5 linked regions of the Nothobranchius furzeri genome follow. The protein of the gene in region 2 binds, or shares a complex with, the protein of the main gene of each other region. Links are inferred from orthologs where the notes say so. Each region holds a gene or a part of one and is shown on either strand. Other genes may lie near its edges. The genes, in order: polr3f, polr3d, crcp, polr3c and polr3k.

What was found.
Region 1: polr3d (region 2) and polr3f share a complex: the UniProt entries of both Homo sapiens proteins name them as parts of the RNA polymerase III complex. The link is inferred for Nothobranchius furzeri from reciprocal best matches to the Homo sapiens genes POLR3D and POLR3F.
Region 3: polr3d (region 2) and crcp share a complex: the UniProt entries of both Homo sapiens proteins name them as parts of the RNA polymerase III complex. The link is inferred for Nothobranchius furzeri from reciprocal best matches to the Homo sapiens genes POLR3D and CRCP.
Region 4: polr3d (region 2) and polr3c share a complex: the UniProt entries of both Homo sapiens proteins name them as parts of the RNA polymerase III complex. The link is inferred for Nothobranchius furzeri from reciprocal best matches to the Homo sapiens genes POLR3D and POLR3C.
Region 5: polr3d (region 2) and polr3k share a complex: the UniProt entries of both Homo sapiens proteins name them as parts of the RNA polymerase III complex. The link is inferred for Nothobranchius furzeri from reciprocal best matches to the Homo sapiens genes POLR3D and POLR3K.

The regions. Positions count from the first base shown.
Region 1 is NC_091746.1:29,572,800-29,575,471, reverse strand, and holds the end of polr3f (DNA-directed RNA polymerase III subunit RPC6), read left to right. Parts: intron 1-1,528; coding exon 1,529-1,636; intron 1,637-1,707; coding exon 1,708-1,899; intron 1,900-1,970; coding exon 1,971-2,048; 3' UTR 2,049-2,163; downstream 2,164-2,672. UniProt on the Homo sapiens protein: DNA-dependent RNA polymerase catalyzes the transcription of DNA into RNA using the four ribonucleoside triphosphates as substrates.
Region 2 is NC_091757.1:39,754,721-39,758,683, forward strand, and holds the start of polr3d (DNA-directed RNA polymerase III subunit RPC4), read left to right. Parts: upstream 1-1,155; 5' UTR 1,156-1,311; intron 1,312-2,285; 5' UTR 2,286-2,291; coding exon 2,292-2,450; intron 2,451-3,950; coding exon 3,951-3,963. UniProt on the Homo sapiens protein: DNA-dependent RNA polymerase catalyzes the transcription of DNA into RNA using the four ribonucleoside triphosphates as substrates.
Region 3 is NC_091750.1:56,809,992-56,814,269, reverse strand, and holds the start of crcp (DNA-directed RNA polymerase III subunit RPC9), read left to right. Parts: upstream 1-1,476; 5' UTR 1,477-1,591; coding exon 1,592-1,599; intron 1,600-2,380; coding exon 2,381-2,417; intron 2,418-2,513; coding exon 2,514-2,612; intron 2,613-2,698; coding exon 2,699-2,793; intron 2,794-2,905; coding exon 2,906-2,963; intron 2,964-4,278. UniProt on the Homo sapiens protein: DNA-dependent RNA polymerase catalyzes the transcription of DNA into RNA using the four ribonucleoside triphosphates as substrates.
Region 4 is NC_091745.1:77,811,047-77,815,192, forward strand, and holds the start of polr3c (DNA-directed RNA polymerase III subunit RPC3), read right to left. Parts: upstream 2,810-4,146; 5' UTR 2,682-2,809; intron 1,293-2,681; coding exon 1,146-1,292; intron 972-1,145; coding exon 707-971; intron 597-706; coding exon 304-596; intron 207-303; coding exon 102-206; intron 1-101. Other genes in the region: rnf115a (E3 ubiquitin-protein ligase RNF115), read left to right, coding at 3,536-3,613. UniProt on the Homo sapiens protein: DNA-dependent RNA polymerase catalyzes the transcription of DNA into RNA using the four ribonucleoside triphosphates as substrates.
Region 5 is NC_091745.1:3,876,670-3,879,618, reverse strand, and holds polr3k (DNA-directed RNA polymerase III subunit RPC10), read left to right. Parts: upstream 1-1,164; 5' UTR 1,165-1,307; coding exon 1,308-1,418; intron 1,419-1,529; coding exon 1,530-1,617; intron 1,618-2,034; coding exon 2,035-2,162; 3' UTR 2,163-2,432; downstream 2,433-2,949. Other genes in the region: snrnp25 (U11/U12 small nuclear ribonucleoprotein 25 kDa protein), read right to left, coding at 617-838. UniProt on the Homo sapiens protein: Core component of RNA polymerase III (Pol III) which synthesizes small non-coding RNAs using the four ribonucleoside triphosphates as substrates. Can mediate Pol I proofreading of the nascent RNA transcript.

The sequences.
Region 1 (2,672 bases), on a different chromosome or scaffold from region 2:
TCACCGTCTTCGTCGCGCTCTCCCCTCTCTCTCTCTCTCTCTCTGTCTCTGTCTCTGTCTCTCTCTCTCTCTCTCTCTGTCTCTGTCTCTGTCTCTCTCTCTCTGTCTCTCTCTCTCTCTCTCTCTCTCTCACCTTTTTCCTCCTCCTCATTCCCTCTCGTCTCCCTCCACCTGCATGTGCTCTGCTGTGTGTCTGAGTCTGATCCTCCCTCTTCCCCGCCCCTACTGCTCTGTGTGTGGACAGTCTGGACACACAGTTACACATGCTGACCAATCGCCTGTAGCTTTCACCAAAGCAAGAGGGAAGGGGGGGGGGGGGGCACGGCTCCCAATGATGAGCCGGCTCTTAGGGCCGGTTCGTTCGCGACCGACACATCACTAGCTGGTACCATATGATGTCACAATGTTGTTGTGAGCCTGTGTGTGTGTGTATTAGTTAGCGGCTCCGCCCTCTCGGTCTGCTAGGCAACAGCATTTGTTGCATTTTTCAAACAGGAAGTGGGAGTGGAGTTAGACTCTGGTAGGGGGTGACTTGCTCTTTAAGTTAAACTAAATGAAGCCTTTTAATGATCTTGGCTTAGCAGCAGCATCATAGCAACAAACCTCTCATCCCCGAGACTGAACTTTGGGTATCCGTGGATGTGCCTGACTTTAAACCGGCCTGAAGGATCTCTCTCTCTCTCTCTCTCTCTCTCTCTCTCTCTCTCTCTCTCTCTCTCTCTCTCTCTCTCTCTCTCTCTCTCTCTCTCTCTCTCTCTCTCTCTCTCTCTCTCTCTCTCTCTCTCTCTCTCTCTCTCTCTCTCTCTCTCTCTCTCTCTCTCTCTCTCTCTCTCTCGTCGTCTTCACCTACTCCTTTGGGGTGAACTGAACTCAGTTATGGACCCTCTACAGCTCTGTGGTAGCGTCTGTTGTCCTTTTATGAGGTTTATTATGTTTGGTGGAAGTGTAGAGAGGGTCAAGGGGACATTAATCAAGCTGGTCAAGAGGGAAAGGGCAGTCCAGCACTGTCCCTTGAGGTGTGTGGAGCAGGTTTGAACCCCACCCCCAGACAGCGGGACAGACAGACAACTGAATTGTCCTCTTACTCTGTTTTTGTTATGAGAGCGCTGGAACAGCCGTGTGGTAATAAAAGTTTATTCAGGTCATTACGGACCACCAGAGGGCAGCAGAGATCTCCCTCCTGAAGGTCCACTGACCTGACCTCATGTCTCTGAGCTCAGTTCCTTAGTAAGGCATTATGGGATGTAAGGATCTTATCTTTTAAAAGAGGTCTTAAAGAAACGATGGAAGCTCTTTAACCGTGAAGCTTCAGCCAGCCTCCATCAATACTCCTTTGAGGTTCTTCTGGGTCATTTTGTTCTGTTGGGGAACCCTCCCGACGACAACAACTGTTGGACCAGAACCTGATAGTTCTGCCAAATGACCAAATGATCGGATCAGAACCCATCCTCTGGGTTGGTCTGGATGATGCTGTTCAGGAACAGGTGGGTTCTGGTCATGTGACCGTCGTGGTGTTCCGTGTGTTAAGGCTGACGCAGCGAGGGACAGCAATCAGAGCCCGATGGTTCAGCGGAACAGCTCCTTCGCCACCTCTCATGAAGTGTGGAAGTACATCTGCGAGCTTGGAATTAGTAAGGTGACTGCTAACGTCCACCAATCACACATCACGCTCGCTGTAGTCCGTGTGTCTGACAGGTGTGTGTCCAGGTGGATCTGTCCATGGACGACATCGAGACCATTCTGAACACGCTCATCTATGACGGGAAGGTGGAGATGACCGTGATTGCCGCCAAGGAGGGGACGGTGGGCAGCGTGGACGGGCAGATGAAGCTGTACAGGGGCGTGAACCCCATCCTGCAGCCCACCGGCCTCGTCAAGACGCCCTGCGGACTCTGCCCGGTAACCACACTCATTAACATGGCTGCATCCTGCTCGTGGACGCGCCTGAACTCACCTGATCCTGTCTGCAGGTGTTTGATGACTGTCATGAGGGAGGGGAAATCTCTCCGTCCAGCTGCATCTACATGACCGAGTGGTTGGACTTCTGATGGCTATTCGGCCCACTTCTTTTCTCTGTGAGGAAACTTCATTCAGCCTGCTGTGATCCACAGTTTTTCTTTTTTTTATTTATCAGTCTTAATAAAGCAGCTCGTGTGAACCGTTTGATGCTGAGATGAGTTATTGTTCAGTCTGGTGTAAAATCTGCAGGAATCTTGGACTGTCTCTCTGACAAATGAAGATGGATGAAATCCCACCATCTCCAACTCCACCTCTCTAAAACTGAACTACTTGTCATCCCAGTGAAACCATCCATACAGCACAATATCTCAATCCAAAATCTATATCTGGCGCCTTCAAAGGCAGTTCGAAATCTGGGTGTTGTGATTGATGAACACCTGACCTTTAAAGATCATGTTGCCTCTGTTGCTCGTTCATGCCGCTTTGTGCTGTATAACATACGAAAGATCAGACCATACCTAACACAACATGCCACCCAGCTCCTGGTGCAATCTACCGTCATCTCCCGCCTCCATTACTGCAACGCCCTTCTAACTGGTCTTCCAGGCTGCACTGTGAGACCTCTTCAAATGGTCCAGAACGCAGCGGCGCGTCTGGTCTTCAATCAGCCTAAAAGAGCACACGTCACCCCTCTGTTCATTGAGCTCCACTGG
Region 2 (3,963 bases):
GCTTATCACAAATAAAGTACTTTGATTAATCAATGAAAAGCGTTCTTCTTCTCTTCTTCTGTCTCTTCTCCTGGAATGTAAACATACTGAACCAAGCGTCCGACCTTGGTGATGTTACTGTGTGAAGGGGCAGCTGTTAAGGCAGACCATTATAAGATTCATAACGGTACAACCTATATAAGTCTCTAGACACCCATTTTTCTCAACAAAAAAACTGCTAAAAATATATTCAGCCTTGATTGTACACAGCAAGATTTATTATTTACAGTGATATAATTAATAATGCTCGATAACGATCAATACTAGATGTCATTTTATTGTGTTCAATGTTATATTACGTTTATTTATTACAATTATTAATAGCTTTTGTTTCATTTTTGTTCTCTGATGATTTATTTGGAAATGACTGATTTTTGGTTTGTGTTCTCAAAGCTACATAAACAAATTATATCTTGTAAAACCTCCCATAATTCAGTCAGATTCAAAACATTTCATTTCAAGGTATTTAGTAGATGAAGAGTTTTTTTTTCTTGTATGGTGCCTTCAAAAAGGTGCTTCACATTAATAATCTCACAGTAATTTATGTTACATTAACAGACTAAATAACAATGCTTCAACCTGCCCAGCATCAACAACAATCTATACATTTTTACTGATTGATATATATAATTATCATTATGTGGAAAAACAATGTGTTTATCACCAAAAATAGCCTTTTTATATTCCTTCGTAATAGTACTGATAGAGAAGAGAGCCTTAAGTGATTCCCACAGACCCCCTTAAATGAGGCTGCTAACTAACATGCTACATTCACCTTCGTGAGGTTCATTGGGTTGTGAGGAGTCACCTGCTGACATATCACCAGCTGCTGATTCTATAAGGACAAGGACAGCAACCCATTTACCATAATTAGATGAAACATAGTTCCTCTCATTGTGGATATCAAAGCTAGCTAACAGGTTGAATTTAACCAATCACTAACTAAACCCACCTTCCTTTGAGAATAACTGTGCGACATACTGACGCTCTCTCTTCTGCCTGTCCTTTCTCCTTTCATTCTTTCCTTTACTGTGACCCAGACGCGTTGCCCCGCCCGCGTTGCAGCCTGCGGCCATGCGCCTCATTCTGCGCATGCGCGTTCCGAACGGAACAACAACGCAGAGGTGTCATGGCGTCGTGCAGCACAGTGGCTCAGAAACAGAAACACAACTAGCTGGCTCAGAAACAGAAACACAACTAGCTAAGGTTCATTTATTATGACTCGCAGACCGTGAATAAACATAGAATAAAGACCCCGGAAGAAGAAATCAGGTAAGGATCTGGAAAAAGCTTAAATATCACTTTTTCTTCTCTAATGATGAAGGTTAGCGAACTAGTGCTGTATCATTATGTCCACGTGCTGGCGGTTTGTTCATTTCTAGCTGGAATTAAGTATTTTTTTCGTAGTGGGACGGTAGATTAAGAGAAACGAAAACCAGTTTAACCGTAGGAAAGTTTTCAGTGGTAACCAGTAGTCTGACTGCAAGTGAAGAAAGTTAAGTCATTTGGAGACCCAGCTGAAATGACTTCACTGCACTAGTTAACTCCTTCATTAGTAGTGTCCAAATATTTAGCTAAACAGGCCTAAAACGACAAGTTGAAAGTACTTGTGTGCCACTTTTATAAATGCAAACAATTTTTGTTCCCAGCTAAACAATAAAGTTAAATCAATCCTTCACTATTCGTTAGCATGTCTTCATATCACATCAGCTTCCAATGATGGGGTGCTGAAAGACAAAAGCCACAGGCCATGGCTAAAAAAACATCTATATAAGCAACGTGATTAAAACAGCGTCAATAAGATCAACAGTAAAACCAACAGAGGAATGTAAACAGATGCATTTAATTAGCATAATCCCCATTGTAATCCAGAAAAGAGAGAACTGGTTTTCAGTCTGAACCCAATGTTTAATATTATAATATAAAGTACACAATATTTTAGGGCTGCACATAGTAATTAGATATTTTTACGATAAGGATGTGTAGATCTCAGATGCAAAGCATCAACAGTCCAGTGTGGATGTAGATGTGCATCCAGATGTAATACCTGCATTCATATGTTGCTTTTAAATGCTACAAAATCCATCAGAATGTCGTTAGAAATAGGTGCCAATGCAGACAAAAATATCTGTGATTTTTAGATATTTTCTACAAAAAGAGTCTTTGTTGTGTCCACGATGACTACAGATACCAGTAGAAATAATTCCAAGTGAAAAAGGTTGATTTGTATCTCCTACTTTATTTAGTTCAAAATGGCTGACTCAAGTGACACCAGTAATCAGCGAATGGCGACTCCTGGAGGCAGCAGTAACGTTGGACTGCTGATGGGCCGCCGACCACCATCGGGAATCTCTCCAGGTCGCCTCCCTTCCATGAGGTCAAGAGACCTCACACTGGGGGGAGTAAAAAAGGTACTGCACCAGGTCTTTTATTAAAGTATAGTTATTTGTAGTGGTTTATAGTAGGAAGTCGAAAGTCAGGGGGAAACAATACACTGGTGCACCATTACCAGGAACTGAAGTTACCCACATCACAGCTGCGCTTCAGACAGCAGGTTTTGGAGTCTTAGTTCCTGATACTTGGACATTTATCCTCAGATTGGATAACAGTGATTCCTGGGGTTGTGCTCCTGCAGTCATTGGTGTATAAAATGAGCAGAAGTGGAGAGATGACTGAACCTTGTGGGGAACCAGTGGAGAGTGACCTGACAGTACTGTGATGGCCGTTAACCCTGACCCTCTGCTCCCTCCTCGTGAGAAAGGAGAGGACCCAGAGGATGAGATGGGAGTTAACATTCAGGTTCAGCAGTTTACATCCCATAAGATGTGGCTGGACTGTGTTGAATGCACTAGAGAAATCCACAAAGACCAGGTTGATATGTGACTTTGGCTGTTCCAGGTGGGTGAGGGTCTCATGCAGCATAGTTAGTAGAGCATCATCCACCCCTCTGTGTGGTTGGTATGCAAACTGCATTGGGTCCAAACATGCACCCACATCAACCAGCAGCTGGGCCATTACGAGCCTCTCAAAGGTCTTCACAATCAGTGATGTCAGAGCTACAGGTCCAAAGTCGCTGTTGATGCCTGGGTTGTTCTGCTTTGCCACGGGGCAGATGATAGAGGACTTCCAGATGGAGGGGATGGAGTGCTCAGCTAGCGAGCAGTTAAACAGGAAGCAGAGAACTCCCGCCAGCTGACTGCAGATGACCAGAGATCCTGCCTGGTCCTGAGGCCTTGTTGGGGTTGATCCTCTTTAGCGTGCTCTCCATGTCCACAGGCAGGAGCTGCAGGTTCTCAACGGCTTGGGACATAGGGGCTAGCTCCATGAATGTGAAGCGACAGTGTGACGTAGATCTGTCAGGCTTTTCACACCCTAGAGTTTTACTGTCTATTTTCTATCGTGTAGAAGACTTTTTCATGATCAGCCTGCATGAAAAATTCAGTGACCCATAATAATCAGAAATAATGATGCTCTTTAAAATTCTTTATTTCTAATATAATGTGAACAAAGAAAGCTTACCTGATACTCGTAGGACGATTAATACGCTGTGGATCAGTTATGATCCCAACACTGGCTTAGTGTTTACTCAAGCTGTTTACCAAAAGGGAGCTGCTTCCATCTTTGACATTTGCTCACACACCGGGTTGTTTACTCTATGGGTTTGAACTGTTTATTAAAAACAAACAACTTGCATCAAGGGGAAAATGTTCATTCAATTTAGTATTTATGTCTTTTATTTATTTATTTATATCACTGAGATTAATCTATACGAAAATGACAAGACAAAAAACCAATCATTTGTTAAAAACTCGTGGCTTCTAGGGACAAGTGATGACTAAAGATGCAACAGAAGCTGATTTTATTGTACACTGTCTAAAACCTAACACGTTTTTGTTTTCTTCCACTTTTAGAAAACGTTCACAC
Region 3 (4,278 bases), on a different chromosome or scaffold from region 2:
GAAACCATAACAAGCTTTGCCAAGAGGACCAAAAGGGAGGCAAAGAAATGGGCCCAAAAGAGGATGAGAGAAACATGGGAGGAAAAGCCAATGCATGGACAATACCCCTTGAGAGTAAAAAAAAGCAGACGTAGAACAAGATCATATCAGTGGCTACGCAGTGCAGGACTGAAGGCAGAAACTGAAGGATTGTTGATAGCAGCACAAGACCAGAGCCTGTCAACGAGATCATACCACCACAAGATCATGAAAGATGGAACAGACCCAATGGGGGGGGGGGGGGGGGGGGGATCTCTGCTGCTTGCTGCCACAAGGACATAAGAGTGCAGCAAAAACCTCATGTTTGTATGGGGAGGACAAAAGTCTCAAAAGATCTGTATGTGTGTATCTAGATTTGTTTATGTGTATCTAGATTTGTGTGTGTTTATCTACATTTGTGTGTGCGTAACTAAAGATTTTTGTGTGTGTAACTCTTGATTTGTAACTTGTGTTTATATTTTTGTGTGTAAATTCAGTTCTTACACATACAATCATTGAACACACACACACACAAATCACCTGGTACACACGGACAAGTCTACAGGACACACAGATCAGTTTACAAGTACAAAAATTATTAGTCAATTTAGGGTTGGGCATCGAGCATCGATTGGAACGGGGACCAACTGTTAGTTTTTCCCGGAATCGTTCAAATTTTTTTATTTAGATTCCAAGTTTCGATTCCTAGAATGCCGACGGAAGAGGAATCCGCAGCTGATCTCCGTGAAAAATAAACGTGATCTACCAACGCTTTTCAGATCTGATCACACCAGCTTTCTGTGTGCAGTACCGAGTCCCCCCTCCCCCCACCTGGCGCGCAGCGGCCAAATATAAACAAACGTGTCCGCCGAACTTTTACTCCGTAATGTAAACTTTAACTCCTGCAGCGTAGAGGAAACGTGTTAAAATCATCAACACGGTGGATTTAATAGAAGCTTTAAAGAACAAACTCTGGACGGCGTGAGGTGAGTTTGTCTCACTGCAAAAATAAAAACACACACGGAGCGTCAGCAGTCAGACGCAGCCGCTCACCAACACTCGTGTGTGTGCGTGCGCATCAGAAGGCTGAACAATAACCTGTAGAATAAAGTCTTCATGTTAGAGAAGCTTCTCAGTGGTGGACCACACCAGCTTCTGCCACAATAAATACTCATGATAATACTAATAAATCACACACAAAGTTGTGAACATTTTAATTTCCTTTCTGAACTATTTCTGTTGAGTATTTTAATGTTTAAAATCTGTTAGATTAGGAAATCTGGCTCAGCTCCCTCTTCACCACGACAGATCGGCTCACTGCAGACGCCGAACCAATCCGCCTGTCGATCACACACACACACACACACACACACACACACACACACACACACACACACACACACACACACACACACACACACACACACACACACACACACACACACACACACACACACAAGCAGACCTTTCGAGACTTTTTTCTCCCCTCACATTTGTGTCGGCGGAACCTTTATCCATGCTCTCCGTTTCCCCACGGAAGGTGTAACAACGTACCGCAGTTCCGGGCGCATAAATGGAAGTGTAAGGATTTCATTTTTACCTTTCATTTAGTTTATTTTAGCAAGAGACTTTGCTAAGTAGCTGTTGTGAATTGTGTTTTTAACAACAACTATAAGCCGTAGTTTTCAGTTTTTGGTTTATTATTGATGGATGAAAGCGAACAGAGCTAGCGAAACAGCAGAGACACATTTTCAGTTCGGTCTGGGACGAAAAACTGTTCATCCTAGCTTATTAAAATTTAAAAACAAAAAACGAGTCAGTATTAACCATTAAAGCCAAACAACACGGTCCTTTTGTTATGACTGAAGACTTTTTTTCTAAAGTCTTTTTAATTCTTTTAAATGAAACTTTTAGCTGATTTTTATTTATTTATTTTTACTAAACGATTCGTAAATGGTCAGAATAATATTTTACTCTCGACTGCATTTTTATAGGTTTAATTTCTTAACCCACATGGAGACAAAAAACGCATTAATCATCTTAACTGTTCATTCCTCTATATTCCGAGTTGATGGTGGACAGGGGACAGCTCTCTAGTCCATCACAGAGACACATGCACTCACTCACAGGTAGAGACAACTTAGAGTCAACAGTTAACCTGAGATGCATGCGTTTGGTCTGTGGGAGGAAACAGAGTATCCATACAGAGAAAACACGCATGCAGTGGAGAACTCCACAAAGGCTGCAGCTGGAATTCGAACCTGCAACCTTTTCGCTGTGAGGCAGCAGCACCAGCTCCTCCCTTCCATGCAGCTCATAACAACTACATCAATTCAAAACTTTCAACTTTTTGTGTTTTCAGCAAAAATTCAAGTGCTGCAATGCTCAGCAACTATGAGGTAATATAGTCGGTTTACCCTCGCATGACGTGTTATTCACTGTTCAGTCAAACAGATCAGTTTGTAACTTTTACTTTCTTTTTTTTTACTGCTCAGGTGTTCAAACTTCTCATAGATCTGAAGGAACAGAGGAAAGATGGGGGGAAGAGCAAACACAGTGCCGGGCAGCAGAACCTCAACACTATCATGTATGAGGTCAGGTCACATCTCTCTTCCTGCATTTATATAAATGTTTTGGTCATATTTATTACAAACATAATCTCCTGTGGGTTCGCCATCAGACACTTAAGTACCTGTCGAAGACGCCGTCCAGCAGACAAAGTCCTGAGATTGTCAAGGAGTTCCTCACCACCATGATGCCCCACAAACTCACAAAGTCAGTGAGATCTAATAAACATTTTATTTTGATTTAGTTGTGTTGATACGATGGACATTGTCTTAACATTTAGCCTTTTTCTGTTAATCTGATTTGTTTTTGTCATCATCAGGGCAGAAAAACTTCAGCTGTTGAACCACCGACCTCAAACTGCAGTAGAAATTCAGCTAGTGAGTCTCGTTAAATTTGTTAAAATTTGTGCAAAACGCAACCCAACCTACCAGGCTACCAGTAATAACCGGTGAAATCCACAGTAGCTCTGCCTGCCAGCTCTGCAGTTTCTTTAATCTTTGATTGAGAAATATTAAATAGCATTCAGACCTAGACTGAGTAAAAAATAAACACACACTGTGGAAATTAAATGTTTTTGTTGAATCAAGACACCCAAAACAGAATTTAAACTTTAAAAATGTATCGCAACACAAGGAAAATATTATTTTTTTAATTTTAATCACGCTAAGAGTTTGGTGCGTGGCATTTGAACTAGCTGCTATTTTATCCTTTGTTAATTATAAAAAAGTGGTTCTTTTAAAGGTGTGGAACACTTTTAGTGAATATTTCTGATTATAATCGGTCTCTGAGTTTTTCATGCAGGCTGAACATGAAAATAGTCTCCTACGTCTATCTGCTGCATTAGCTTCGGATGGAAAATAGACGGTGAAACTCTAGGATTAGAAAAGCCTGACAGATCTAAGTCACACTGTCACTTAACATTAATGGACTCACTCATCTTGATTCATGACGGAGAAGGCTGTTGTTGGCTTAGCGTCCAGGAAACGGCAGAGAATGTCTCAGCTAGTAGAAGCTAACCATTAGCAACTCCACCACACAGCAAAAGCTCCTCCAGGCTTGTGTTACTTGTGGAGATGATAATCAGTGGTAGAGTCGCATTGCTGTTGTAGTGTATCGATAGTTACATCTCTTACGTAGGAAACCATCAAAGGTGAGATTCCTTAGAAAATATGGAATCAATTTGATGTATCTTTGAATACTACCTTTAATCAGAAGATATGAACTTTTTATTGCAGGGATTAGGTAATAATTTGTAATAACCCAGAGTCAAAGAGAGAGACAAGTTTTAAAGTTTAAGAAGATTTATTTCTAAACAATTTAAAACAAGGCTAACTCTAACTTTAACTCTAAAGCTTGGTTTATGCTTGACGCATTCACTTTCCGCTTGGTGATGCGGCTCGCGGATGGAACGCGCTTCACAACTCGCAGCGTTTATGGTTCGTGCGGCTTGTCTCTGCGGTGAGCCAATATTCTCCCAAACTGAACGGGGCAACATGGAGCTCTACGGCATGCATCTAACACTACACCATAGTAGAAGTAAAAATTACTATTTACAACATGGCATTTCAGCATTTTTAACAGCGTCCTCGTCTTTTCTGACAGTGCGAGCTATTTCTCTCCAAGAATGATTAACAACATGTTGATCACGGTGATCTTTGAGAGCTAAATCATACAAATGTCTGTATTTACGAA
Region 4 (4,146 bases), on a different chromosome or scaffold from region 2:
TTTTAGTCATCCAGGAGAATGAATAAGCGTTTTGTAGGCACGTTCAACTCTTTTTTTTTTTTTATTCACTCGTATTTTTAGTCCTGAAGAGGAAGCCTGACCTGATCCAGTTTACTGGCCACGGCACTGATGATCACCTGGTCTCTGAAGTGCTGATGAAACCGCGTAAAGTTCACCTGCCAGTAGATCCCCTCGTCACCATGAGTCTGCACAAAAACACCAACCGTGTGTGATGATGATAAAAGCAGAAACAGAGAAATGTTGGAATGAATAAATAGGTGAAAAAAGAGAGTTGTTCCCGACTTCTGGCTCCATTTTGGCTCTTTTTGCGCTCCTTTGCTCTTCTCCCTCCTCGGTGGCGAGCTGGCGCTTTCCCCGCCCGACGAGGGTCACATGAGGCACCTTATAGCACTCGGAGAAGCTCTCTGGGTTGGGCAGGGTGGAGCTGGAGGCGGCTGCAGTGGGATTGGGGCCGGCTTGAGTGCTGCTGGCTGTCATTCCTGCTCCGTCCAACGGAGGGCAGCGCTGCAGGAAATGCGTCTCCACCAGTTTAGAAAAGACAGACGACACTTCGCTGTAATCAACGCTCTGCCCATCTGTAAGAACAACATAGACACTTGATGTCACGTAATATAAATCCTACTGAAACCTGAAAAACATTCAAAATCAAATCCAGATTTTTGTCTTTTTAAAATCAGACGCTGACCCTCCATGTTCTGACTGAGGCGGTCAGCGACTGTCTTGACCGTGCCGCTCATCGTCATGTGACCCCTCTGAAGCAGCTCCTCAACGATCAGCTCTCCGGTGTCACCGTACAAGGTTTTAGAGGTGTAGATGTAACGTGGGTATCGCAGAATCCTCAGAATGCAATCGCAGCTTGCCTGATACTCTGGGGGGCTGCCGGGTCCCTTTCGACCAGAGATGAACGAACACGCTCCGTGATGCATAAGCACGCATAAAGACTTCTTTACCTTTAAAAACAAAGGCAAAAGCAGCATCTGTACTGTGTGATTAAAAATCATTTATAGTGTAAAACTGTCCAATAAATCAACTCTACTTATCTAAAATACATCACCACCAACAATTAGCTGCTAAGCAAATATATTCTCAGTATTAACCAGCAGAAAGAAGCTTGTCATTTGTACCAGGTCCGCTGAGACTCCAGTTTCATGAACAATGGCTCGTAAATGTTGGCCACCACTTCTGAGCAGGTGTGTTCCCACTTTCTCCACCACCTCCCCGAAATGCTCTCGCATCAGAAGACCACACAGTCGTACCTCCTGGGCTGTCATCTGCAAAAACATACAATATAAATAAGATCCACAAGTAAACGGGTCAGGGATGAGGTCCTGCCCCAAGTGGAGGAATTTAAGTATCTCGGGGTCTTGTTCACGAGTGAGGGAAAGCTGGAGCGTGAGATCGATAGGCAGATTGGTGCTGCGTCTGCAGTGATGCGGGCGTTGTACCGGTCTGTCGTGGTGAAGAGAGAGCTGAGTCGGAAGGCGAAGTTCTCGATTTACCGGTCGATCTACGTTCCTACCCTCACCTATGGTCATGAGCTTTGGGTAGTGACCGAAAGAACGAGATCACGGATACAAGCGGCCGAAATGAGTTTTCTCCAAAGAGTGGCTGGGCTCTCCCTTAGAGATAGGGTGAGAAGCTCGGTCATCCGGGAGGGGCTCGGAGTAGACCCGCTGTTCCTCCACATCGAGAGGAGCCAGTTGAGGTGGCTTGGGCATCTGGTCAGGATGCCTCCTGGACGCCTCCCTGGTGAGGTTTCCCGGGCACGTCCAACTGGGAGGAGGCCTAAAGGTAGACCCAGGACACGGTGGAGGGACTATGTCTCTCACCTGGCCAGGGAACGCCTTGGGATTCCCCCGGAGGAGCTGGCCCAAGTGGCTGGGGAGAGGGAAGTTTGGACCTCTCGACTTAGGCTACAGCCCCAGCCACCCGACTCCAGATAAGCGGATGAAAATGGATGGATGGAAGTAAACTGGTTTTATTTATGTTACAGGTTTTGTAGAAGAATTCCTGTATTTTATTGTAGATGAAGCAAAACAGTAAATTAGATGACATCACCTATATCACGATAATAAAACCCACGGAAGCAGCACCAGATTAGCAGAACATTTTATAAAAGATGCTTTTCATGAAACAGATTGAAAACAAAATAATCAGTGTAATATGAACCAACAGTTGATCAAAATAAACAAACTAATTAAATGACAAAATGACTGTACCAAGTTGTGAGGAAAGTACTGAATATTGTGTATGTGGTTGGCTTAAATAGGTAAATTAGTATGATTTATTATCAACATCTTAACAGAAATTAACCTATTGCAAGAATAAAGTCATTTTATTGTATTTTATAAATTATATTTACTTTTTTGACAGGACACTAAAACACTAGTACACTTAAAGCATCACAAATCAATCACTAGCATCTTTAAACTGTGATGTTTCGGTTAAAAAAACACTAAAGCACCATAAAACAAAAGACAACATGTAAACTTCATCTAATATTAAATGTTAATTATGTTTTAAGCGTCTCTGATTAATGTCCACACCAGTGAAGCTAAAGTTGTATTAAGTGGATTAGCTTACAAGCTACTAGCGGCTAGCTCACCTGAAAGTAAAGAATTAGGAAAAATAAATACACGTAACTTATTTTTTTCACGAACCTTTTATTGCAGATGGGTTTCGGAGCAAACGTAGCTGTTGCCTTCATGCATCGACTTTTTACACATGCGTCTCTTCCATCACAACACACAGACACTTCCGGTAAAAAAGACACTTCCGCTCTCTGGGTCTTCCCTCCAGGATTTGGCTGCAGTGCAGCGCCCCCTGTCGAGCTGGAGATCGTTTGGTTCAGGCAAGTTGTTGTAGCATATAATTAACCACATCCCATTTTTTTCATTTGGAATTTAAATAAAAAAAAATTTGTTCATGAATTGCATTTTTAGTTATCAGAATAAACAACTGAAATTTCAAGCGCTCGACGTGTTAATAAGTTAGACAAAAAGTAAGAGGTACACAATCACACTGGGTGAAGTCAGTATTCATCAGTAAACATCTGCAGTTCCTTCCATGTATTTCAAAAGGTATATTTCACCTATTCAAAATCAACATTTCAAGAATCTCAAATACCTTTCCCAAATGTTAGGACAAACAAATTCCCATAGAAATTTAGTTTCCGGTTTAAAAAATCTAAACGTACTTTGCTGTCGAACAACTTTTGTTAGAATAATAATTTGTTTCTCAAAACTGGAATTCCCACTAGAGAACAATGTGCAGATTTCAAGGTCTTGAATACCGTGGTAACTCTGAAATATTTTAAATTTTCATATGATTTACTGCTATCATAAAGACGTTTTTATTATTAAACGTTTTAAAACAACTTATAATCATTTTGGAGGATATGAAAATGCATATGATAAATATCAGAATTATCACTTATTATATGATGAACCGGCTTGCCATAAAGTGTCTTTTGGTTGTAAAGGACCAACGTCACTAGTTGTGCTGCTTGGGGAAGATGGCGGAGGCCGCGCCTGTTCCCCCGCATCGGTTTTTCTGTCACTGTTGTAAGGGAGAAGTAAATCCTAAACTCCCGGTAAGTCCGGTGTTTTTGGTTAGTCATGTGTGATATATTCCACATCGTGCGCGACTGACAACACCGCTGCTCGACCAATAGCAGTTAGTTTCGCCTGTCTGCTACAGCTAAACCGCCGCTAGCTTGTTAACAGCTAGCAACGGTTGTTGCTGTTAACTCTCTGAATTAAACGGTGCCTAATTTGTTTTTACTTGAGGTAAACGCTGGGTTATAAACTTGACACTGTCAAGTTTTGTTCTATTCGTGTGTCTACGCGTAATTGTGTCAAAACTCAGGGCCCGAAGCTTCAGGTTTCCCACTGTGAATGTGTTGTGAGCGTATTTTCCACCGAACAAGACCTGAACACGGATTGTCTGGACCATTAAAGCCAAGACGACATATTTAAAACTCAGCTGAGAGACAGTGGACTAGTTTTGTTTTCAGTGTTTGTTTCTGGTCAAATATACTGTTGGAATGACGAGTTCGGGGATTTTTCATGGACTTAATGTTTAGTTTCATTTGTGAAGTCAAAGCAGCACTAGGTGCACTTTGTG
Region 5 (2,949 bases), on a different chromosome or scaffold from region 2:
GCAAGAAGAGACATCAGCAAGGACTTTGGGGAGATAATTTTGTCTTTGCTCTAATAAAAACTGTAATATGCAGTGATCTGCTGTTTTTACTCCATTGGAAGCTTGCAAATTGATTCATAAACACTTTGTAGTGCAAATGGGATCCATTTGAGTTTTAATAGGTATCTAAATAGACTGTTTGGAAATTGCAGGTGAGGTGTGTGTCCAAACTTTTGACTAAAGTAACAAAAGCTGCACAATGTATCACAAAACATCATCACTGTGACTGCTTCAGTGGCACACAAAAACAGCTTGATTCACAGTAGATGGGGACATGTTCATGTGACTGAATCTCCTTAATGCTATTGCTGAAAACACACCAGTGGTGAGTGATGTGTGGTAACAGAGTGAGGAAAATGAGGATTTAGCACAACTGTTATCGTCATCGCAATACCCAACGATATTGTAACAGTGTGATTTACTAAATCCTACAAAAGTATAATCCTGGCCCAAATATCTTCTACAATCGTCATTGGACTTTAAAAATAAAATAGACCAGCTCCAATGAGTGAATCTCAAATAAAGGTGACAACACACGTTTTCCTTCAGAGTAACTGAGGGCACTCAGAAATAACACCTGGATTGGCAGGTCGCAGAGTAAAGGGTCCTGCACAAGTCGAGCAAGTCCTTCTTCAAAAATATCCAGGATCTCAGAGTGAGGGAGAGAATCTTCATCGTCCTCCTCCTCAGCAGCTGCCTCGTTTAGGAAGCTCTCCTTTTTCACCTCCTCATCCTGCACTAGTTGCGCTCCTTCACCTCCTTTGACTACAGCAGAACCTGGACTCTGCTCCTCCTCCATCCGATAATCATCCAGCTATTGGGTACCTTCCGGGTTTCCTGCTAGAAAACGTCGTCTGGATACAATTTACCTGGACAACAATTACAGGTTTACTTCAAAACTGCTGCTAAAAAAGAAGAATTAGAACAGCAAAAGCCCGTATGTAACTGTGTGCAGTACAAACAAACTACCGGAACGGAAATGGACCTTATGTAAAAGGTTCCACTTGATGAAAATAAAAATGAACAGCTGCGTTAACATTTGATAAATACGTATTCTTATCATAAATTAATAACATTCATTTTAATATAGAATTGTTTACATACAATTAGGCATGTTGTTTAAACGATTAGCGACTTCCGGTTGTTTCCGTTCGAGCTGTTTTCATCAGTCGACTTCCGGTTTTCTCTACGCAGCAGATGGTTTCTGGTGAAATCACATTTAGATTCCATTTAGTTGATGGTTTGCGACCAAATTGATTACATTTAAAATGCTACTCTTTTGCCCTACCTGTGGAAACGTTTTGATCGTAGAAGAAGGACAGAAGTGTATGAGGTTCGCGTGTAACACCTGTCCTTACATACACAACATCACAAGAAAGGTAGGAGTCACCCGTAACTAAACCAGGTTTCATCATCTAGTTGGTGTCAGAAACACAAAATATTTGTCGTTAGGTTTGTAAGTTTAAGGTCTTGTTTTATTTCTCTTGAAGGTAAACAACCGAAAGTATCCCAAATTAAAGGAGGTGGATGATGTTCTCGGTGGGGCTGCTGCGTGGGAGAACGTGGATTCAACTGCAGGTAAATAACATTAAAATGACTTCCTGGAGTCTGCATACAAATGTTTAGCATATTCTTTAGTTTTAGTTAAGTAATTAAAGTGTTTTAACGCCTAAAATGAGAAAAGTGTACTTCCAATTTTCAATTATACAAACGGATTAATCCAGGATTTTCAGTTTTTCTTTTTGTTCAAGCCAAACCATTCAACAATCCTGATATCCTGTATCTTTATTTAGGTCATAGTAGAATTGGCTAGATGCTTAATAAACTATTATTTATCTCCTTAAAACAATTCATGATCCTTAAACAGGATTAGTGATTTCTTAAGATTAACATTCTTAAACTAAAACCTGGACATACCAGAGGTATTTGGGGTATAAGATGGTACATACCGGTGTGGCCTCTAAGCTGACATATTCCTTCTCTATCTCTGTACAGAAAAATGTCCCAAGTGTGAGCATCCTCGGGCGTATTTCATGCAGATTCAGACCAGATCTGCTGATGAACCCATGACAACTTTCTACAAATGCTGTAATGCCCAGTGTGGACATCGATGGAGAGACTGAAAGTTTTCTACTTGTAGTTATTTCAAATGTTCAGATGATTTCTGGCCTGGTTTTCCTTTTCTTCTGTATTTATTTGCACCATTTACTTTCCAGTTGTGATAAATGTTCCACATGACAAAGTGTTTACTTCATGATTTTTATTGGTAAAATAGCGCCTGTGTACAGTCACATAAATTGCGTACATAGTTGTACATCAGACATCTGGAGCGATGCAGACCAGCAGTTTTCACAACATGACTAAAGTTCCATTACAATCCTTCACAAAATGTGTTTTTTTGTTTTATATTTTGCACAGATTTTTCAGTCTTGAGGAAAAAAATATGCACAGAGTCGGAGCACATCAATGATTATTACTAAAGGTATAGCCCAGGCAAACTGCGAGAAGCATTAGTGGCTGATGTATCCCACATGCTGAGATGATTCACTGTTAGTGTTCAGAATCACTTTTGCAAAAGGTCTAATTCAACAACTTCATGAAGCTCATTAAAATCTCACTAATCAAATGTATTTCATTTCATCTAAGCGAAGAACCTTCATTTAGGTGAATCCTTAATGGCTTAGTACTCAGTTTTTAAAACCTCTTAAGATCAGCTAAATCTGAAATGGTGCTGCATGAGCCTGACAGAAAAACACACACCAAGATGTCATGCTTTCGTTTTTAAGTGATTAGCTTGTCTATCGCCTTCAGTACACTTGTGGACCATTCCCATCTGTACCGGGTCGGCCCGGGCCGGGTAGCGTAGGTTGTTTACATATCTGGGTGGCCTGGTATTTTTCCGGGCCAACC